Coturnix japonica: one gene and its partners. The protein of the gene in region 2 interacts with the protein of the main gene of each other region in a pairwise test. Links are inferred from orthologs where the notes say so. Each region holds a gene or a part of one and is shown on either strand. Other genes may lie near its edges.

Region 1 (5,282 bases), on a different chromosome or scaffold from region 2:
GCTGAGGAGGTGCTGCTCCTGCTGCCCATGGTCTTTGTTAACCTGCTGCTATCAGACATAGCCCTGTGGGAGCAATGCTTGCTCTGCTCCCTCTTACCCTCCTCCCAAGTGCCATTTGCTGCCATTTATTTTCACATCAACATCTGACATCAGGTATTCTCACCAGAACTACCTGTCCCTTCTCATCTTCCTTCTGTAAGGCACTGAATATTGTCCCAGCACAGCATCCATCAAGCTGACACAAGCAACAAGCTGTCCTGCTGGGCACCGAGTTGGCCACAAGCAATGTGCCCCAGCTGCCAACAAGGCCCATAGTATCCTGCATTAGGAGCATTGGCAGCAGGCTGAGGTGACTTTAAATACACAAAAAGAGAACTAGCCCTAAAATGGAGCTCTGAGGAACCCCACCAGTGACCAGCCTGATGGAACCCCATGTGTTGTAACCCATCAGCTCACCCTTCTCATTGCAAAATAACTGAGGTCCTGCAATGACATCTTAGTACCCTGGGAGTTAAAATCGAGGACTGCAGAAGGTTCTCTGCTTGTGCAACTGCATCAAATACCAGAGGAAGGCAGAGGAGGCTCAGCCCGTTGCTTCACCAGGAGGAAAAACCACAACGATGTGACAGCAAAGGCATTCAGAATTCAGAACTCTATCTCACAGCTGAGTGTGGTGGGGTCAGGCACAGAAGGGGCACACAGGAGCAAGCCAAAACCAGGGAGAACCCCAATAAAGAAGCAAGCAAGACGTGGAGTTACTTACCGTGACAACATGAGGAACTGGCTGAGATAATCTCTTGAAATCTCAAGGGCTTTGGCAAGAGCAAGCAGGAAATGTGGGGATCTGCCTTTGTAGATTATGGGGGTTAAAATCCGGAACTGAGCCTCAGAATTTCAAGTTCTCAGAAAGATGTCATCAGACTGGACACAACACAGGCATCAATGCCTACGTGAACGTGGGGTGATAATAAACACAGCACCTTGCTCACTGCATGCTGAGAAAAGGATCTCTCTCCATGTCCAAGAGTGGAAATGGCAATGGGAACCCATATGGGATGGAGGAGTGGATCCCAGGGGAGAAACCTGGGCAGGGCAAAGGGAAATAATGAACAGCAAAGCAAACCAAGAAGCAGGATTGCTCCTGAGGGATGGGTGGTTGGCAAAGAGGAGGGAAAGCAGGAGAGTTTTGGGAAGAACAACGGAAAGATGGAGGGAAGCAGTGGTGAAATGATAAGAGGAGGCAGTAAAAGGGTCAGGAGAGGAAGAGGATGGGGAGGAAAATGGCTCAGACCAAGAAAGCCATTGATTCATAGAATCAAACTGATTTAGATTGGAAAAGAGCCTCAGGATCGATGATTCCATCTATCAACCTGACCTGCTGAGCCCCAACACTGCAGCACATCCCTTCCACCTGCAGAGCAGCCTAGAATCAAGGCTGGAAAAGACCATTCAGATCATCCAAGCACCAACCTGTCCCTACCATGGCCACTATCCAGGAAGGGGACTAAAAGGATGAATACTCCTCAAAGCCAGCATGATGGCAGTAGAGTCCCACCAGATATCCCACTGCCAGAGTCTGCCCCCATCTGAGGGCCTCTCAGACAGCAATGCTGTCTGAAGAGAACAAGATTATACAGTCTTAACCATCATTAACTGAACTCTGCAGTATCTGAAAGTGTTTCCAGCTTGTTTAAATTCCAGCGCTGTGAATCATGGTGAAACAAAAGCCTCCACCACCTCCTCTGGATCTTATCTTATTTGCCCCTGAAAGGAAAGCAGAGCTCACTTTAAGGCCTGCCTTTATCATTGATGAACTCAGCTCCCTGTTTGGAAGGCACGCAGCGCTCCCACTGCTGCAGGAGACATTTGAGGGGGCCCATCTCTTACAACATTGTCCCTAATGGCCTCAAGCAGAAACCAAGTAAAAGGAGAGACACCTGTGTAAAATGCCACCAATACCAGTTCTAACACAAATGCTTGATTATTGGTCACATTTATTTTAAGAACAGAACAGCTTTTCATCCCAGATCCCTACGTGAGTTTATTGCGCAACTGAGGAAGGACAACAACAAGAAGTCATGTCCTGCAGAGCACGTTGTGTTTTCCTCCTCTCCTTCCCTGGGTGAGAAGCAAGCCTGGCACAGAGCACCAGCAGCTCCCTCATCCTGCACCTGCAAGGATGCTTCAGTAGCATTAAGAACACAAATAAATACAGAGTCGTCAGTATCAACCAGAAATTAAGTTATTGCTATGTTCTGTATTGGACACTGTGGGTAACTCACTTGATAACCAGCAAGAGAGGGGATGGGTCTCAGACTGCCCTTGTGTTTTTGTCGGTCAGAGATGGGGGAGGACAAGGTTAATTTTCTCCCTGCCTTAAGGGCAGCAGATATCTACCTCAGTGGGAATGAATCTTTGTCATTCAAAACAGGTGATGGAGGGGGGGGGGGTGACAGCCTCAAAACATATGGTAAACTCTGACCCACCTGATGAATTTCCAAGGAGTACACAGCAAAGAGTACTGGCTGCTCCTGACCTGCAATAGGAGCTGCTGAGTAACCCTCACCTAGTAAAGCATTTCAGGTTCAGACTTCCAAAATAGAAGGAGCCCAATGTTACTCTGAGGGCTGAGCCACAGCTGTTAACACAATGTAAAATAAGGGTAAGGAGCAATGTGGGCTTGGGGAAGCACTGGTGAGGCTCTTACCACCGCACACAAGGTCAGTCTGACACAATTCCACTTCCCTCTGCTGGTGGGACAGGCTGGGATGGCCAGCGTCTCAGTATTGAGTGAAGGCAGCTATGAGGCTTAGCATTAAGAAGTGTAATACATACAAGACCACTGGCCACCACTGATTATCACTAAGCTCAAAGTTGATTACATGTGATGAGCTCACAGCAGTGTCACTCCCCACCCCACAGTGTCCCTCCCCACGAGTATTGGCTGGAGAGCAGGAATTTGAGCAGATGAGGAGAACTGTAAGAAGAACCTCTGCATCTCAGGCTGATGGAAAAGCAGAGAGGTCCCTTTCAGGACATTCAGAGATGACTTTCTTAGGCATCGTGCAGCTGGTTCTCTTTCAGCAGGATCTTCTCTCCAGGCTTGAAGGCAGGCATCCCCAGGTAAGGGCAACTGGCACAGCGGAATGCATCCCCCAGGTAGCACTGCCAAGAGACAGAAAAACACTTCTTATCATGGCAACTCTCAGTTCTCTCTTCCTATTAAATGCTTTTCCCACCTAGAGAAATGACCTGCTCCTCAGCATATGCCAGCACAGAAAGCACTTCCCTTCCACCTCCTCTGGGCACATGCTTGTTTAGCAGGTAATGGAGCTGGTGCAGGGCACTGCACCCACACAAAGGAACCAAGTTTCCAGCCCAGCTCTGCAGAAGGGCAGCTCTGCTGTGTGCTGGCTTTGGCAGCTCCCTAACTGTACTCCCATAAGGTGACCTTCCCCACAGAGCAAGTGAAGCACAGTGTCACTGTCTACTCTGACTCATGTCAAGGTGGCACTAGCACTGTCGGCACACAGCAAACTAGTGCAGAGCATGTGGGCTGTTCTAAGAGATGAGATGGTAAAGCCAGAAGCTCTGCAAAGCAGGCAGTATTTGAAAAGCAGTAAGCTTTTAAAGTAAGCAGTAGGACTGCTGCAGTCGGTTCTCAGACACAAACTGCACCCCTGCAAACCACAACACACAAACATAACAACTATTTACATTTCCACAGGCAGATTTGGGCTGCGAGCTCTTCTTCTCCTGTTCCAGCTCTTCAGCCAGGCCACATGTGCTGTAGAAAACAAAGAAGTCACTTGCATCGTTCTGATTAAAAGCTATGAGTTATAATCTTCATTCCAAAACTGCTCTCATGCAACAAGCCCTCACTCAGTCACACAACACAGCTGGCCCTGGGACTCTCATGCTCTGCACTTTGTTCTCCAATACCAGTTTGCAAATCAAGTATTGAAGCACACTCCTCCAGCTGAAGCAAGTGACTCTAAAGCAATTTGCCACGTAAACCATTCCTCCTTAAAAGCAGTGGGAACAGGATTCAAGTGAAGGCTGCACAAACTGTGCAGCTACCTCTGAGAAGGCTGCTGCTCATACCACCATGGCAGTTTGCAGCAGTTCTGGCACAGATAGCCAGTTCTCACTGTGTTTGGATTTGCATTCAAATAGCCAAGATAAGGGAAGGACACGAACCAAGTGAATGATGCTTTCCCACAATCTATTTCAAAAACATCCACCTCTAAGGTTTCATTGCTATGAGCTAAGAGGTACACGGACATGCTAATCTCAACACTGACCAGTTCTTGCAGGCTTTCTTTTTGCCCTTTTCTTTGCAGGATGGAGCTCTGAGAGAGGCTGGATCTGGCTTTTTCAAATCCTCTGAATCCAGTAGTTCATCAGAGTCCAAAAGATCCTGGAATAAACCATGGAAGAAAACACACAACAGACAGACTCGTTAGTAGGGAATGACATTGCTGTTACATGCACAGAAACACTCCCTCTCAACAATACCTTTCCCTCAACTCTCACCACACCTGTGGGCACCCAACACCTCAAACAGCACCTGAGAAATTTTGCCCTGGGGATGCTTTTCTACTTCTTAAGTTGTAAAGCTTCCCAAGAGGAATGACTGAAACTAGTTAGAGTAGAAAAGAAGAGAGAAGGAATGACAGCCAAGTCTCACAAATAAAAATGGATACCATCTCTTCGTCATTCATATCATTGGCAGACAGTGTCCATAGCTTAGCAGTAGCTGGGTCCACTGAGGGTTTTCCTGCATCCAAAACAAAATAAGAAACAGTAGGTACCACAGTCACTGCTCCATCTATTTCCAGCAAGCAGAGCTCAAACAACTTTAGAAAGCATCACTTCACAGGTATTTATGCAGCACTCCCTACCACAGGGATGCTGGTCACTTCAGAGGAGGGCAATTCCTACATACAGCATAAACCATGCTTTACCTGAAGGACTTGTTTTCTTGGCAAAGGATAGTTTGAGTTGACTTGAAGATCCCACTTCAAAATTGGGTTTCCTGCCTTCTATCTGAACAATGAGAAGGTCATTGCCTTGGTAGCCCAAATGTTCTCGGACTGACTGGGCCTCCTCTGCAGTCAGAGGTTCCTTTTGCAGCTGGAATGCAAGATCTTCAGTTAGTCTCACACTGAGCCACCTTATTTCAATGCTCCATCCACTACTCCTGTGAACAAAGATAATCAGTTGTGTCTGGCTTATCCCTCAGAACAGAGGAGGAGTCAGTCCCAGCTGCAGTGCAGCAC
Region 2 (5,733 bases):
AACAAAGCTGGCTAACACCTTATCTGCTGTGGCACTTGCCAGCTCCGTCTCAGTGACCTTCCCAGCTCAGCACAGTCAGTTGTGTCACAGATTGGCTCCTGTGCTGCTGGTGGTAATCTTGGCCAGCAACCAGGTGGTGCAGGGGAGCAAGGTGATTGCCATGCCACCCCACCAGGTCCTTCATAGGCACAGGGACAAAAGCCCCAGCAGGCTCCCATCAGCACTGCCAAGATGCTTCTTGTACAACCTGCTCCTCCAAGAACTAACCTGGTCCCTGGAGAAGGCTGTGAAAAGCATCAGAAAGCCCTTTGTCACCAGCTCTTCCCACTCTGCCTGGCAGTAGAAGTCCTTGGATTTCTGGCGGCAGCCAAAGAACAAGCAGTTCCCTGTGGAGAGCAGATCAGAAGGGCTGTGCTGGGTAGACCAAATGCCCTGCGAGGGCCATCAGTACCCATGCAACTCAAGAACTGTGTGTCAATGCACATGACCTGTGACAACCAGAGGCTGGAAATCTGGGGCGTGGTGGGCAAGTAGGGCATGATGAGCCCTTGCAGGGCTGCCAGCTCCCTGACATGAGCTTATTAGCAGCCTTCTGCAGAGATGCACAAGTGGGCCAGGGCAATGACAAGGGCAGAGGGAAAACTGCTTGTGCATTAGCAGAAAATCTCAGCAAACCAACCCCACTTACAGAGAACCAAGAAAGAGGAATTTCAGAGCCCTGCCCTGCCCCAAGAAGCAGCCTGACAGCCCAGCCTGTGAATAACCACATAGTTTGCACACATCAGGCTCTCTCTGGTGCTGACCTCCCTCAGAGCCCAGCTTGCTTCCAACTACAGTAAAGCTCAAGCTTGTCCAAGCCCACAGGAGCACCCAGTTCCTCATTCCCATCTGCTGAACATAGACTTGCCAGCACCAAGGTGCACCCCACATCCACCCCTCACCCTTCTGTCCTTGTGCCACTCGCTCCTGTACAGCTGCTCGGAAAGGTGCCACCCCTGTGCCAGGGCCAATCATGATCACAGGAGTGCCAGGTTCAGCTGGGAACTTCATTCCTCCTTTCTTCACCCAAAGAGGTACCCGGACATCACCTGCAAAGCGAACAGAATGGTTAGCATCAGTTCAACATCACTGCACCCACAATACGGGGTACAGCATCAAACCCTTCCTTCCACAATGCTCCAGAGATATGGACTGTGCCTGGCTGACCACCACCCAGTATCACAGTGTCACATGCACATTGAATGCATGAAAAGACCTTCAGCTATCTCAAGACTGTCTCTGTAAGGACCTGAGTGAATCCCAGGGCAAAGAAAGAGTCCCCCAGCAAAGAGGCTGCAGGACAGCCTCTTCCTCATACAGCATATGCAAGGGAAGGCAACAGTGGGGGCAAGTAGAGAGAGCTACCTGGCTGTCCTGTAAGGAGAGCTAAGTTTGACTCCTCTGGTGTTAAATCACCATCTAGGTACTGTGAGAAGAGCCAAACCTGCCCTGGAGTCAGAGCAATCACCTACCACTCTGCAGCACGGAAATCCCATGAGCCTGTCGCATTTGCAGAAGGACGCAGCTTATGAGGTTTTATAGTGTGGTCCTCACATAGTCCAAGTAAAGTTACCTTGCTCTGGGTTGAGAGATGCCAACCACGTAGAGCAGAGACCACGGCGAGGCTTGCTGAGCCGTGTCTTGTACTGCACTACTGCCACGAGGATCTGGATCCGGCCAGGGTGAGCCTGTGTGCAGATAGGAGCCATGAGAACCAAGATACCTAGCACAGTTCACTGCCTCCACCAGGAACAGCTCATACCAGGGCAACACTCATCCCAGCTTGAAACAGCTGCTCAGACACAGTACAGAGCAGGGTTTTCCTATTGCAGCACAGCCATAGGAATGCTCTGTGCAGTTGGCAATGGTGACAGAGACAGTTCAAGCCAAGAGCCCTCCATGGAAAGCAAATGCCATCAGTGCTTGGGCTGACATCTGCCAAGACACATGGCTGGATCCCACCGCCACCTCCTGGCAGCAGCAGGAAGCAGAAGTACACCCTTCCCACCTGCCAACCTCCATAGTGTCACATCCCAGTGTTCCCTGTGACAGCAGAGCCTGTACTAAGCAAGCCCCAACACCTGCAAACACCTTAACCTGCAGTGGGGGTTCGGGTGGGCTGTGGACATTCACAGGGTCAGGCAGTGCAGCCTGAATACCTGTGCTGTGCACAGCACCAGCAGTGCCCTGGCACTCAATTCAGTGCCTGACATGAGGCTGAGAAAGGCTGAGATCTTACCAGCATGGAGGAAGCGATGGAGAAGGCGCGGGGTCTGATGCGAGGGATGAGGTCCAGCAGGTATTCAGGTGGAATGGCAGATGTGGTGTGAGGGAAATCCCAGAGCGCCTGCAAAGCCACGGAGAGCCAAGCTGGTGCAGCTCAGAAGGCAGCCTGCCTGCTTTTCTGAGGCAGCAAAAGTTGTTCTGTAACACTGCCACCCTCACCCAAAGCCCCACAGCAGGGATTCTCTGAGCACCAATCTCCCTGTCTCACTGCCCTACCCTTGTCCCCAGGTTGCAACACAGAATCCACAACAGAGCCCAAGAATTTGGAGCAGGTCTTAGCCTGCTTATTCCAAGGACACTTGAGAAAAAAGTGAATTAAATTCCTCAGTCATTGAATTACTGCTCATCATCTGTCTCCTCTGCCCTGGCTGCTTTATTTCCATGGCAAAGTCCTCAAGGATGGATCTGCTGTGCTCCCCCAGGCCAACCTCAAGGGTGGTCCTGCGAGGCCGGTTGCAGTAGTTGTACAGCTCTTCCTGGCCCTGTGCAGAGCTGAACTCCTGCAGCTTCTCCCGCTCCAGCTCATTTGTAGAGAAGTGGGACAAGAGCTCAAAGAAGGAGCGCCGTGGCACGCAGGAGATGTCCAGGTAGTGGGTGACCAGGTGTCGGATGGTGCAGGGCTGCAGCAAATGGGCAGGGAGGGCTGTGCCTGTAAGAGAGGCACCAGAGAGAGCTCAGAGCCAGCTCCGGCACTTCCCAGCCCTGCTGCATGAGGGCACTCACACGCTACAGGAAGGTCTAATGGAGCTGACTTTAGCCACCATCATTGCCCCCACTCCATCCTGCTCTTCCCAGCTTGCTTTGCCAGCTCACATGCTTGCAACAGAGAACATCAGTGGTTCTGAGCACTCCCTTGTCCTTGTCTCCTCCTTCTCTTACAGGGGTGCAAGAAGCAGCTTCAATTTCTCTGGGGTTTGCTTCCCAGGCCCAAATCCCAGCACTGACAGAGAGTCAAGAGATAATGGGGGGAAGGCAAGACACATGGTCTTGAAGTAGCAATTACTGGCTAAAAAGTAAGGGTCTACTGCAACCTCTGTGGGTACTCTGAACATCTCTGCAACAGCAGGTGGGGTAAAAGGAAAGATGAAAAGAGTTCCAGCCATTGCTACCTAAATAAAGGAAATTGCTCTGCAAAATCTGGCATCTGACCTATCGAGCCAAACTGGTACTGAAGTGTTTCCCAGCACAACAGACTACTGAGAGGACAGCGATGCTCACATGCTGACCTGCAAGTGCACCAACCAGGATCTGTGATTCTTCACGAGAGGCAGACCCCTGCAGGTGGGCTGAAATGCCAGGGACCAACACTAGGACATATCAGGATCAAGAGTGCTCAGAAATGGCAGGGATGGAGTTCTGGCGTCTTGGAGACAGAACACTTGTTCCCTGCCATGGTAGCTTGGACACTTCCTAGGCCACAGAAGCCCATTAGAGGGTCCTCACAGCACTGTCTAGCTTCAGGTGGCATCAAGCAGAGGGGCTGGCAATTGCTCTGCATCCTTTTTAAGGTCCAGGACTTCTCCCTTCCTGCTGCTGACCACACCAGGCAGGCTGTGCTCTCCCTGTATGGGTAAAAAGACTGTGATGCTGAAGATGTCTACTGGGTTTTTTCACCTTTGGAGGCAGTTGGGAAAGAAAGGAGCAAACCAAAACACAATTTAAAGCACAAAGGAAGGTCTTGGGGTGATGTTTTCCAATAGATCTTATATTGACTTCCTGCCATCTTCAGTCCCTCAGACCAGGGAAGTGATGGGAGAGGAAAGAAAAGAAACCTTTCCTGGCGCCATGCAGACCACAGAGCCACAGCAATGCCTGGTGAGTGGGTGCCTCCATGAGGACTTCCTGGTTGTTGGTACCACTGTATGGACAAGCACCTCCATCAAGACTCTGGGGTACAGGCAGAGCCAGGAAACCTGCGAGCCCCAGCAAAGAATCATAGGCATGGATGGGGGCAGAAGTGAGAGCAACTTGACTTGGGCCTTGGGCTGGTGAGTGTGCAGGATCTTTCGTGCTCTGAGCTGCTGAAGACATAAGGCAGCACTGGTATCCCTGTGTCCCTCCCATGAGCCATGTCAGCCCTAATGATGGACCTATATGCATAGAGAGTTGGGAGAGAAGGAGAGCCCCAGCACTGCAAGGCAGGCAGATGTTCTGTATCAGCCAGCCACTCTCAAATCTGTATTTCCTTACTTACTGGATCTAAAGCAAAGGAAAAACAGATCTCCAGGCCTGACAGAGAGGTAAAGGAGTAGCCAGCAGCACCTACCAGGCTCTGTGGGCTTCAGCAAAAAGTATTTGTCTGGATCCAGGCGAAGGAGCTGGCAGAACTGTTGCACATCTTCAGGGCAGTTCTGGGGCTGGATCATCACCACGTCTCCTGCGCTGAACCTGCAAATACAGCAGGACCTGCTGAGCATGGCCATCTGATCTCACACAAGAAAAAGTACGAGGGAGCCAGAAAAACACTCACGTGATCCCTGATCCTGTGACATCAAACTCGATGAGCCGGACATCCTGGAAATGGGATTCGGCTGTGACACGCTGGTTGGACACCATCCGGGCAGCAAAGGGATGTAGCTCAGAAGGAGGAGCCCTGTGTGGTGTTGGCTGCAAGAGGCTGCTGTCAGAGTGCAGGGAATCCTCAGCCAGGTAGTGCATGGTGTATCTAGGGGGCAGACTGTGGGAATAATAGCAATGCAGTCAGTGCATCTCCATTCCACAGCTCATCCACTGCCTTAGCTTTACAGGGAGGCAGGGACACACTGAAGTTTCCTTCAACATCCATCACCCATGATCCCTGCCCCTTGGAGCTGTAAGACATCACAATGCAGCAGTACTGTCAGGAGATCTTAAAAGAGGTTGGAGCAAGCAGAGCAAAGTAAGCCTGTCTAGTGGGAGCAGTTAGGTCTTAGGGATGCTTGGGACATCAGTAGTTTTGTGGGGAGGTGTCCTGGCCTCCACCCTAGAAGCAGAGAACAGCCACAGAAGACATTTCACACCAGCCATTTCCAGCAAGCCTCTACACTCACCATACATCAGGACTGATGACCTCAAGGCCAGGAGGGAGAGGATACAGGGCAAGGATCTTGTCCCATAAAGCTAGGAGCCATGGATCAACCACTGCATCTGGCCTGCAAGTGAGACACTGAGGCTGCAACAGAGTTCTGCCTCCCTCACCACCCTTCCAAGCCCCAGCAATGTTACCTCTACCATACACACTACTGTCAGAGCTAGGGAGGCTGCAGTGCCATGGACAACTGTGGCTTTGCCCCCCTTGGTGGGTCTGACATTTCTTGGCCGATGATGGACCTGTCCTGGGGCACAATCTCTGATGCCCTTTTGCAGCACAGGCACTCACCCCTTGCAGTTCTACAAGACCTAGGCATACGCTGGGGGTCATGGGATACC
Region 3 (6,172 bases), on a different chromosome or scaffold from region 2:
CCGCACAGCGCTGCTTGTTTAATCTCTCCTCCTCATCCTCCTCCCTCTGGCGTTCTCGCTCCGCTTGTTCTTTTAAGCGCTGTTCTGTCATCTGAGCAGAGACAAGATGAGGGCTGTTAGAGCCAGGTCAGAACACACAGGTGGTTGGAGGCAGAACCACAGCAGGTTTCTAACACAGTGAGACTGAACAGACACACTAGCTCAGCCAACAGGTTACAGAACAAAGCCAGTGGCTGTGCAGACACCTGAACGTAAACAGCCAGGGAGGCTGCTGGTGCATTTGGGACCAGAAACATCCCTAACCTGTGTTAGTATCCTGCAACAGCATTTTCAATACTCAGCTATCTCTCTGAAAAGCATGCTATACCTGAGCTTCCAAGTCCTGTCTGTGAGCTATCTTCCGTTCCTTCTCTTGCTCTTTCTCTCGCCTTGTCAGTTCCTTTGCCTCCTCAAGTTCTTTAATCAGTTGCTCTCGATACTTTATAGACTCTTCTTGGGCCTGTCTGTTTAACTCCATCTTCTCCTGGATCTGGCGCTGTCTGCCTGCGAGGACCTGTGTGAAATGAGATGATTAAGAAAGAAGATAAGGAAGAGACCAGACATGGAAGCAAACTGTTATCAGAAAAATATATCAGGAGAACAGAAAGACTCGAATACAGAAGGCTGTGACCCTCTGGGGGTTGGAAGGTCACAACTGGAACAACAGCTTTGTCAGACCAAGAGACACCTCATTAAAAGAAGTCATCACCTCATTCATCAGGCGATCTCTGGCCATCTTCTCCTTTGCCCATTGTTCTTCCCTCTTCTCCCACATTTTTCTAGCTTCTTCCCTGAAGGTGAAAGAAAGATTCCTTTCTGAGGTTACTCCTTACTTAAATAAACAGGCACATTTCTACAACAGCAAGGCCTACCAGGCACCTCTTTTTAGTGTCCACCTCTAGATGATCACCTATTTAACAAACAGAAATGAGCTCTGCCACATAGAGAAGAACATCCAGCACATACATTCCCTTTTGACGATGTATAACAGAGCTGCATACACACCTATAAATAACCTGTAGCTCTGCCTCCCTCTCCTTTTCTAACTGGAGCTGTTCCTCAATGACATTTCTCATCCAGGCAGCGTCTGCAACAGCTCGCTCTCGTTTTTCAGCCTTGTGGCGCTGATCCTCCTCTTCTTTCTCAAGGATGGCTAATAAGATTTGTCTGTCTGTTTCCTTGAGGGGAAAAAAAACCCCTAAAGATTAATAACCATCCAGCGGGCTTCCAGCCTGTGTACTTTAGTACTCTGTACAAATCATTGGTGACATAGTGTCAAGGGTGTCCTCAGAAAGACACTCTGACTGCCTGCTTCTCTCTGATCTTTTCACTCCAGCCCTGTTCATAAGCCAGAAGAGGCCTCCTAACTGCTTATCTGTAGGCACTGGAGGCAGACACATACATGAAACACAACAAGTTCCTTCAGCAGGCAGTATCTACTCAGGGGTATGATTTAGTGGAGGGTTTTTAGAGTCAGGGTACTGGTTAGGGTGCGGTTGGACTTGATGATCTTCAAGATCTCTTCCAACCTGGGTAATTCTATGATTCTATTATCTATATTGCACAAATCAGAAGGTATTTTCCTCTTACCAGCTCGTCCTGTACCTCCTGGGCTCGTCTCTTTAACTGGGCATCATATTGATGCAACAAAAAGCGACTGAAGGAAGAAAACAAAACAAATTCAGACCATCTCTAACGCCCTATTATATTGTATACCAGCATTCAGACCATCTCTAAAGCCCTATTATATTGTATACCAGCATTCAGACCATCTCTAAAGCCCTATTATATTGTATACCAGCATTCCAGAAAGTGCATTTACAACATTAAAATACACAGAGGCAACAGAGATACCTGCTACCTCTAACACGAGCAAAAAGTAGCAATGGCACCAATGCATTTATGCTCAGTAGCTGTTCTTGCACTTCCAACAAAACAAGCAAGCATCTGCTGCCCACCCCTGCTATCTAAAACATCTCCTCCTGCTGCAAGTACTATCATGGTCACAGGAAGAGATCCCATCCACCACTGCTTAGAGCTACATTGCATACCCAAGCTCAGTCTTCTTCCGGCGCTCTTCCATTTGCTTTCTTTCTTCTTCTAAGTTTCCCAGCTCCCACTGCTGCTTTAATAAATCCTCTTGCTCTTTCTTCAGCTTGGCTGCCTAACATTTTTGAAAAGGAGAAACAAACAATAACCAAGTGAGTGCTTCAGAGAGCTAAGACATCCCAGTGAGCCTCAGTACCAGCTTGTACCACACTCATAATCGTGGTAGATACTCCACACCATTTGCATCCTACTGACTCACAGCATAAGAGAGAAGGTGAGGAGCTTCAGCTGAAAAAGCTACTGCAACCTCTCACACTGCAGTGTTTCTACATCCAATACAGCACAGAAGGGTGCCCACATTTCAAGAGGTGCAAATGAAGCCTACGAGATGTCATTTAACATGCCTGTATTCACAGAGAGATCTGCATTACAAAGCACAGCTGACTTTGTTCCAAATCTAATCTAGGGGGAAATCTGGAAGGAAGAGGTCAAGTCAGCATTGCTGTGTTTCCAAGTGAAGCAATGAACTTTCTTCCTACACAAGGAGAAGCTGAAGGTTACCTCTGCCTCCCGTAATTTCAGTTCTTCTATCTGTTGAAGCAACAGCTCCCCTTGCTTCTTGTTCTCCAGCTGACGTTTCTCTTCCTCTTGTCTCATTCTTTCCTCAGCTTCCCTTCGTGCCATTTCACATTCATTTTCAAGAAGCTTTCTCTCTCCTCGTTCCGTTGCTTGTTGCTTATTGAGCCAAAAGAAAGCATTGCATTTCAGGTTAGACTAAACTCAAAGGAACAGCCTGTGGTTCAGGAGATGCTCAAATCAGCTTCCAGGAAGCTGACACCTATTTGAAGGACACAGGATAAGATGTGCTAGGGAAGGAAATGAGAAAATGAGACTAAATAGATCTGTTCAGCAGATAACATTGGATTTTCTAGGAGATGAGATACTTCCCATCAACTCCAAGCATCCTGCAGACACCAGAACCTCGCACCACTATGGGAACAAGCAAGGCCAACTCAGTCACTATATAGTACAAAAGAAAACAAATAGCCAGCTCCTAGTCCAGGTAGTACAGGAATACCAGCTGCTTACAGCCCACATTTCATGCAGCTCCAACATACCTGCTGCTTCTGCTTCAGCTGCTCACCCCAGGACTCCACCACGTTCTTCTTGTGTAGCTCTGACTCCACCTGCAGAGAGTCAGCGCTGTCAGAGCCTTTTTCTATTGCCAGCACCTGCAGACACCCACAGTCAGGGGATGGTGCTGTGAGCACTGATGGAGCTGTGGGTGTCCCTGAGCACTGCAGGCAGTGGGAACAGATGGACTTTGGGATAAAGCACCCTTGGGATAAAGCACCCTTGTGGGGATCCCGTGCCGTGACTCCTCACCTCCCTCAGCTCCTCGCTGTTCTGTTTCCATCTCTCCCGCAGCAGCTTCTCGGCGACCTAAGCACACACAGCAGTGTCAGTATATGGGTCCCACACAGCAGTGTCAGTATATGGGTCCCACACAGCAGTGTCAGTATATGGGACACACACAGCAGTGTCAGTATATGGGTCCCACACAGCAGTGTCAGTATATGGGTCCCACACGGCCCAGCTCAGCCCCATCCCCCCCATATCTCTCACCTGCCTCCTTCTCTCCTCTCGTGCCGCCCTCAGCTCCTCACAGCGCTTCCTCATCCCTCCATGTTCCTCCATCCCGCCGGGCTCCGCTCGTATCTCGGCCTGTATTTCAGCCTCCAGCGCGTCCCGCTCAGCGCCCAGCATCTCCCTCAGTCTCTCCCTGCGCTTCCTCATCCCTTCCTCCTCACCCCGCCCCGTGCTCGTGCCGCCCGCATTTTGCGGCTCGCTCCAACGGGCCTGAGCGGAGCAGGAGAACGCGGCGAGCTGGAAGGAGCGGTTGTACGTGTCCCATTGCAGCCGGTTCTTCGCCTCCCTCTCCCGCTGCCGCTCCAGGGCCCGGCCCAGCGCCGGCCGCCACTGCGCCATCACTAGGCCCTAATGTAGGCCGCGAGGGTCACCATGGCAACGGGTACGGGGAGCGCCGAGGGACAAAAAGCATCGGGGTGAACGAATTGGCCTCGCGGGTCGGGATGAGGCCGCAATACATGAGCTGCAGTGCTTTAAGTATTAATGGAGCTGTGAATATTTCAGCACGGTGGAAGGTTTGTGTTTCCTGGCCCTGAGCACAGCTGGGCGCTGTCAGGAGTCGCCCCACGCCTCATTCAGCGCATCCATAGCGCCCATAGGTGTCCGGCTGTATGGAGCTGTAACGGGATGCGGACGGGCCTCGTGCTCAGCCCGGTTCGGCTCATTGAGCTCCGTCCATCGGGACACCGGCTGAATCATTCACTGCCACCCGATCGCAGCGCCCGCAGTGAGCCCGGTGGGACGGCTGTGATTGCACCATAGGCACTGGGTGCTCCATAGGCACAGCGGACACCCCCCACCCCATCGGTTCGGGCTGGGGGTCCCGGTCCGGTCCCGGTCGATACCGGGATGGGCGCACACCGTAAGCCCCGCCCACATTGAGACAAGCCCCGCCCACCTCTACCATAAGCCCCGCCTACTCACCCGGACAAGTCCCGCCCTCTCATTCCTATTGGCCGCCTCTCGGTGGGCCGTGCTCACCCATTGGTTGGCTTCATTGATGGGCGTGTCTCGGCGTGGCGCGCTACCGGGTCGGTGCCGGGTCGGTTCGGTCCGTGCCGGGTCGGTTCATGGCGCTGCTATTAGAGCACGAGTTCCGGCCGCTGCCGGCGGACAAACAGATCGAGACGCTGCCGTTCCTGGAGGCCGTGTCCCACCTGCCGCCATTCTTCGGTAAGAGCTGGGCCAGGGGCTGTGGAACCTGCCGGACCGGGACCGGACCGAACCGGGACGCCGCCACCCGCGGGCACGGAACGCTCAGCAACACCAGCCCCGTCCGGTCCCGGGATCCCATTATAGGGTCCCACACCCCCCCAAGCTTCCACCCCCGCCCCGGTTCCGGTCCCGGTCCCGGTCCGCACCCCCCGGTCCCGCCCCCGGTCCCGCCCCAGTTGCGTCAGGGCCGGGTGTGGCGGCTCGTCCCGTCCGACCCGCTGAGCGACAGCGTTAGGAAACGGCCCGACCCAACCCCCGGGGTGTACAGGGATGGAACGGGGCCGAACGGGACAGAACGGGATAGAACGGGATAGAATGGGGCAGAACGGGACAGAACGGGGCCGAACCTCCGCTCCATACAATGCGCCATTGTACGGAGCCATACGGGGACAGCCGGGCACGGGGCGAAGCCATTGTGACCCCCTGTCCCCGCAGATTGCCTGGGGACACCCATCGTGTACTCACCCGTCAAAGCCGACCTGGCTGGGAACATCAAGGTATGAGGTTGTGGGGGGGGTCACCACCCCATGTACAGCACTGCAGGACCCGGCTGTGGGTGCCCACCTTGACCCCAAACCTCTGTACCCTTATAGAAGATCCGGGCTGTTTATGAGTCCAACCCCAGCAAGTTCAAAACGCTGCAGAACATCCTGGAGGTGGAGAAGGAAATGCACGGTGCTGCATGGCCTAAGACCGGAGCCACGCTGGCGCTGATGTGGCTGAAGAGGTGATTGATTGGGTTGTTATATCGCCCCTAATGTGGGGCTGGGGGTCGTGTAGGGCTCAGGGTCAGAGTGTCACCCCACAGCGGGTTTGGGGTCACGGTACCAGCCTCCTTCTCCCTGGCAGGGGCCTGAAGTTCATGCTGGTGCTGCTGCAGAGCATCTCCGATGGCGAGCGGGATGAGGAGCATCCCAACCTCATCCGTGTCAATGCCATGAAAGCCTATGAGATTGCCCTCAAGAAATACCACGGCTGGATGCTGCAGAAGCTTTTCATGGTGAGAGCCGGGGCAGGGGGTCATAGAACCATTAAGGTTGGGAAGGACCTCTGAGATGAGCCATCCTCTCCATGCCATGTCTCTAAGGTGCCATAAGCTGCTGCTCATGGGGTCACCCCGCTGTGGGGTGGGCAGTGGGACATGGGGGTCCCATTGGCTTTTGGGCATCCCCACAGCCAAGGCTCAGCTCTGCTCTCACCCCATCCCACAGGGCTCGGT

The links.
Region 1: the proteins of NDOR1 (region 2) and CIAPIN1 interact in binary tests that used the Homo sapiens proteins (3 or more experiments, as listed by UniProt). The two-hybrid records come from large-scale screens. The link is inferred for Coturnix japonica from reciprocal best matches to the Homo sapiens genes NDOR1 and CIAPIN1.
Region 3: the proteins of NDOR1 (region 2) and TCHP interact in binary tests that used the Homo sapiens proteins (3 or more experiments, as listed by UniProt). The two-hybrid records come from large-scale screens. The link is inferred for Coturnix japonica from reciprocal best matches to the Homo sapiens genes NDOR1 and TCHP.

The regions. Positions count from the first base shown.
Region 1 is NC_029526.1:1,885,784-1,891,065, forward strand, and holds the end of CIAPIN1 (anamorsin), read right to left. Parts: intron 5,137-5,282; coding exon 4,968-5,136; intron 4,781-4,967; coding exon 4,707-4,780; intron 4,421-4,706; coding exon 4,305-4,420; intron 3,788-4,304; coding exon 3,718-3,787; intron 3,166-3,717; coding exon 3,055-3,165; 3' UTR 1,977-3,054; downstream 1-1,976. UniProt on the Homo sapiens protein: Component of the cytosolic iron-sulfur (Fe-S) protein assembly (CIA) machinery required for the maturation of extramitochondrial Fe-S proteins.
Region 2 is NC_029532.1:484,831-490,563, reverse strand, and holds part of NDOR1 (NADPH-dependent diflavin oxidoreductase 1), read right to left. Parts: intron 5,457-5,733; coding exon 5,355-5,456; intron 5,003-5,354; coding exon 4,796-5,002; intron 4,714-4,795; coding exon 4,592-4,713; intron 2,975-4,591; coding exon 2,754-2,974; intron 2,387-2,753; coding exon 2,279-2,386; intron 1,728-2,278; coding exon 1,613-1,727; intron 1,089-1,612; coding exon 942-1,088; intron 387-941; coding exon 268-386; intron 1-267. UniProt on the Homo sapiens protein: NADPH-dependent reductase which is a central component of the cytosolic iron-sulfur (Fe-S) protein assembly (CIA) machinery.
Region 3 is NC_029530.1:5,974,339-5,980,510, reverse strand, and holds the start of TCHP (trichoplein keratin filament-binding protein), read right to left. Parts: upstream 4,124-6,172; 5' UTR 4,078-4,123; coding exon 3,715-4,077; intron 3,532-3,714; coding exon 3,475-3,531; intron 3,276-3,474; coding exon 3,207-3,275; intron 2,824-3,206; coding exon 2,650-2,823; intron 2,204-2,649; coding exon 2,091-2,203; intron 1,697-2,090; coding exon 1,630-1,696; intron 1,218-1,629; coding exon 1,045-1,217; intron 831-1,044; coding exon 749-830; intron 554-748; coding exon 368-553; intron 92-367; coding exon 1-91. Other genes in the region: GLTP (glycolipid transfer protein), read left to right, coding at 4,809-4,911, 5,389-5,450, 5,547-5,680, 5,803-5,953, 6,165-6,172. UniProt on the Homo sapiens protein: Tumor suppressor which has the ability to inhibit cell growth and be pro-apoptotic during cell stress. Inhibits cell growth in bladder and prostate cancer cells by a down-regulation of HSPB1 by inhibiting its phosphorylation.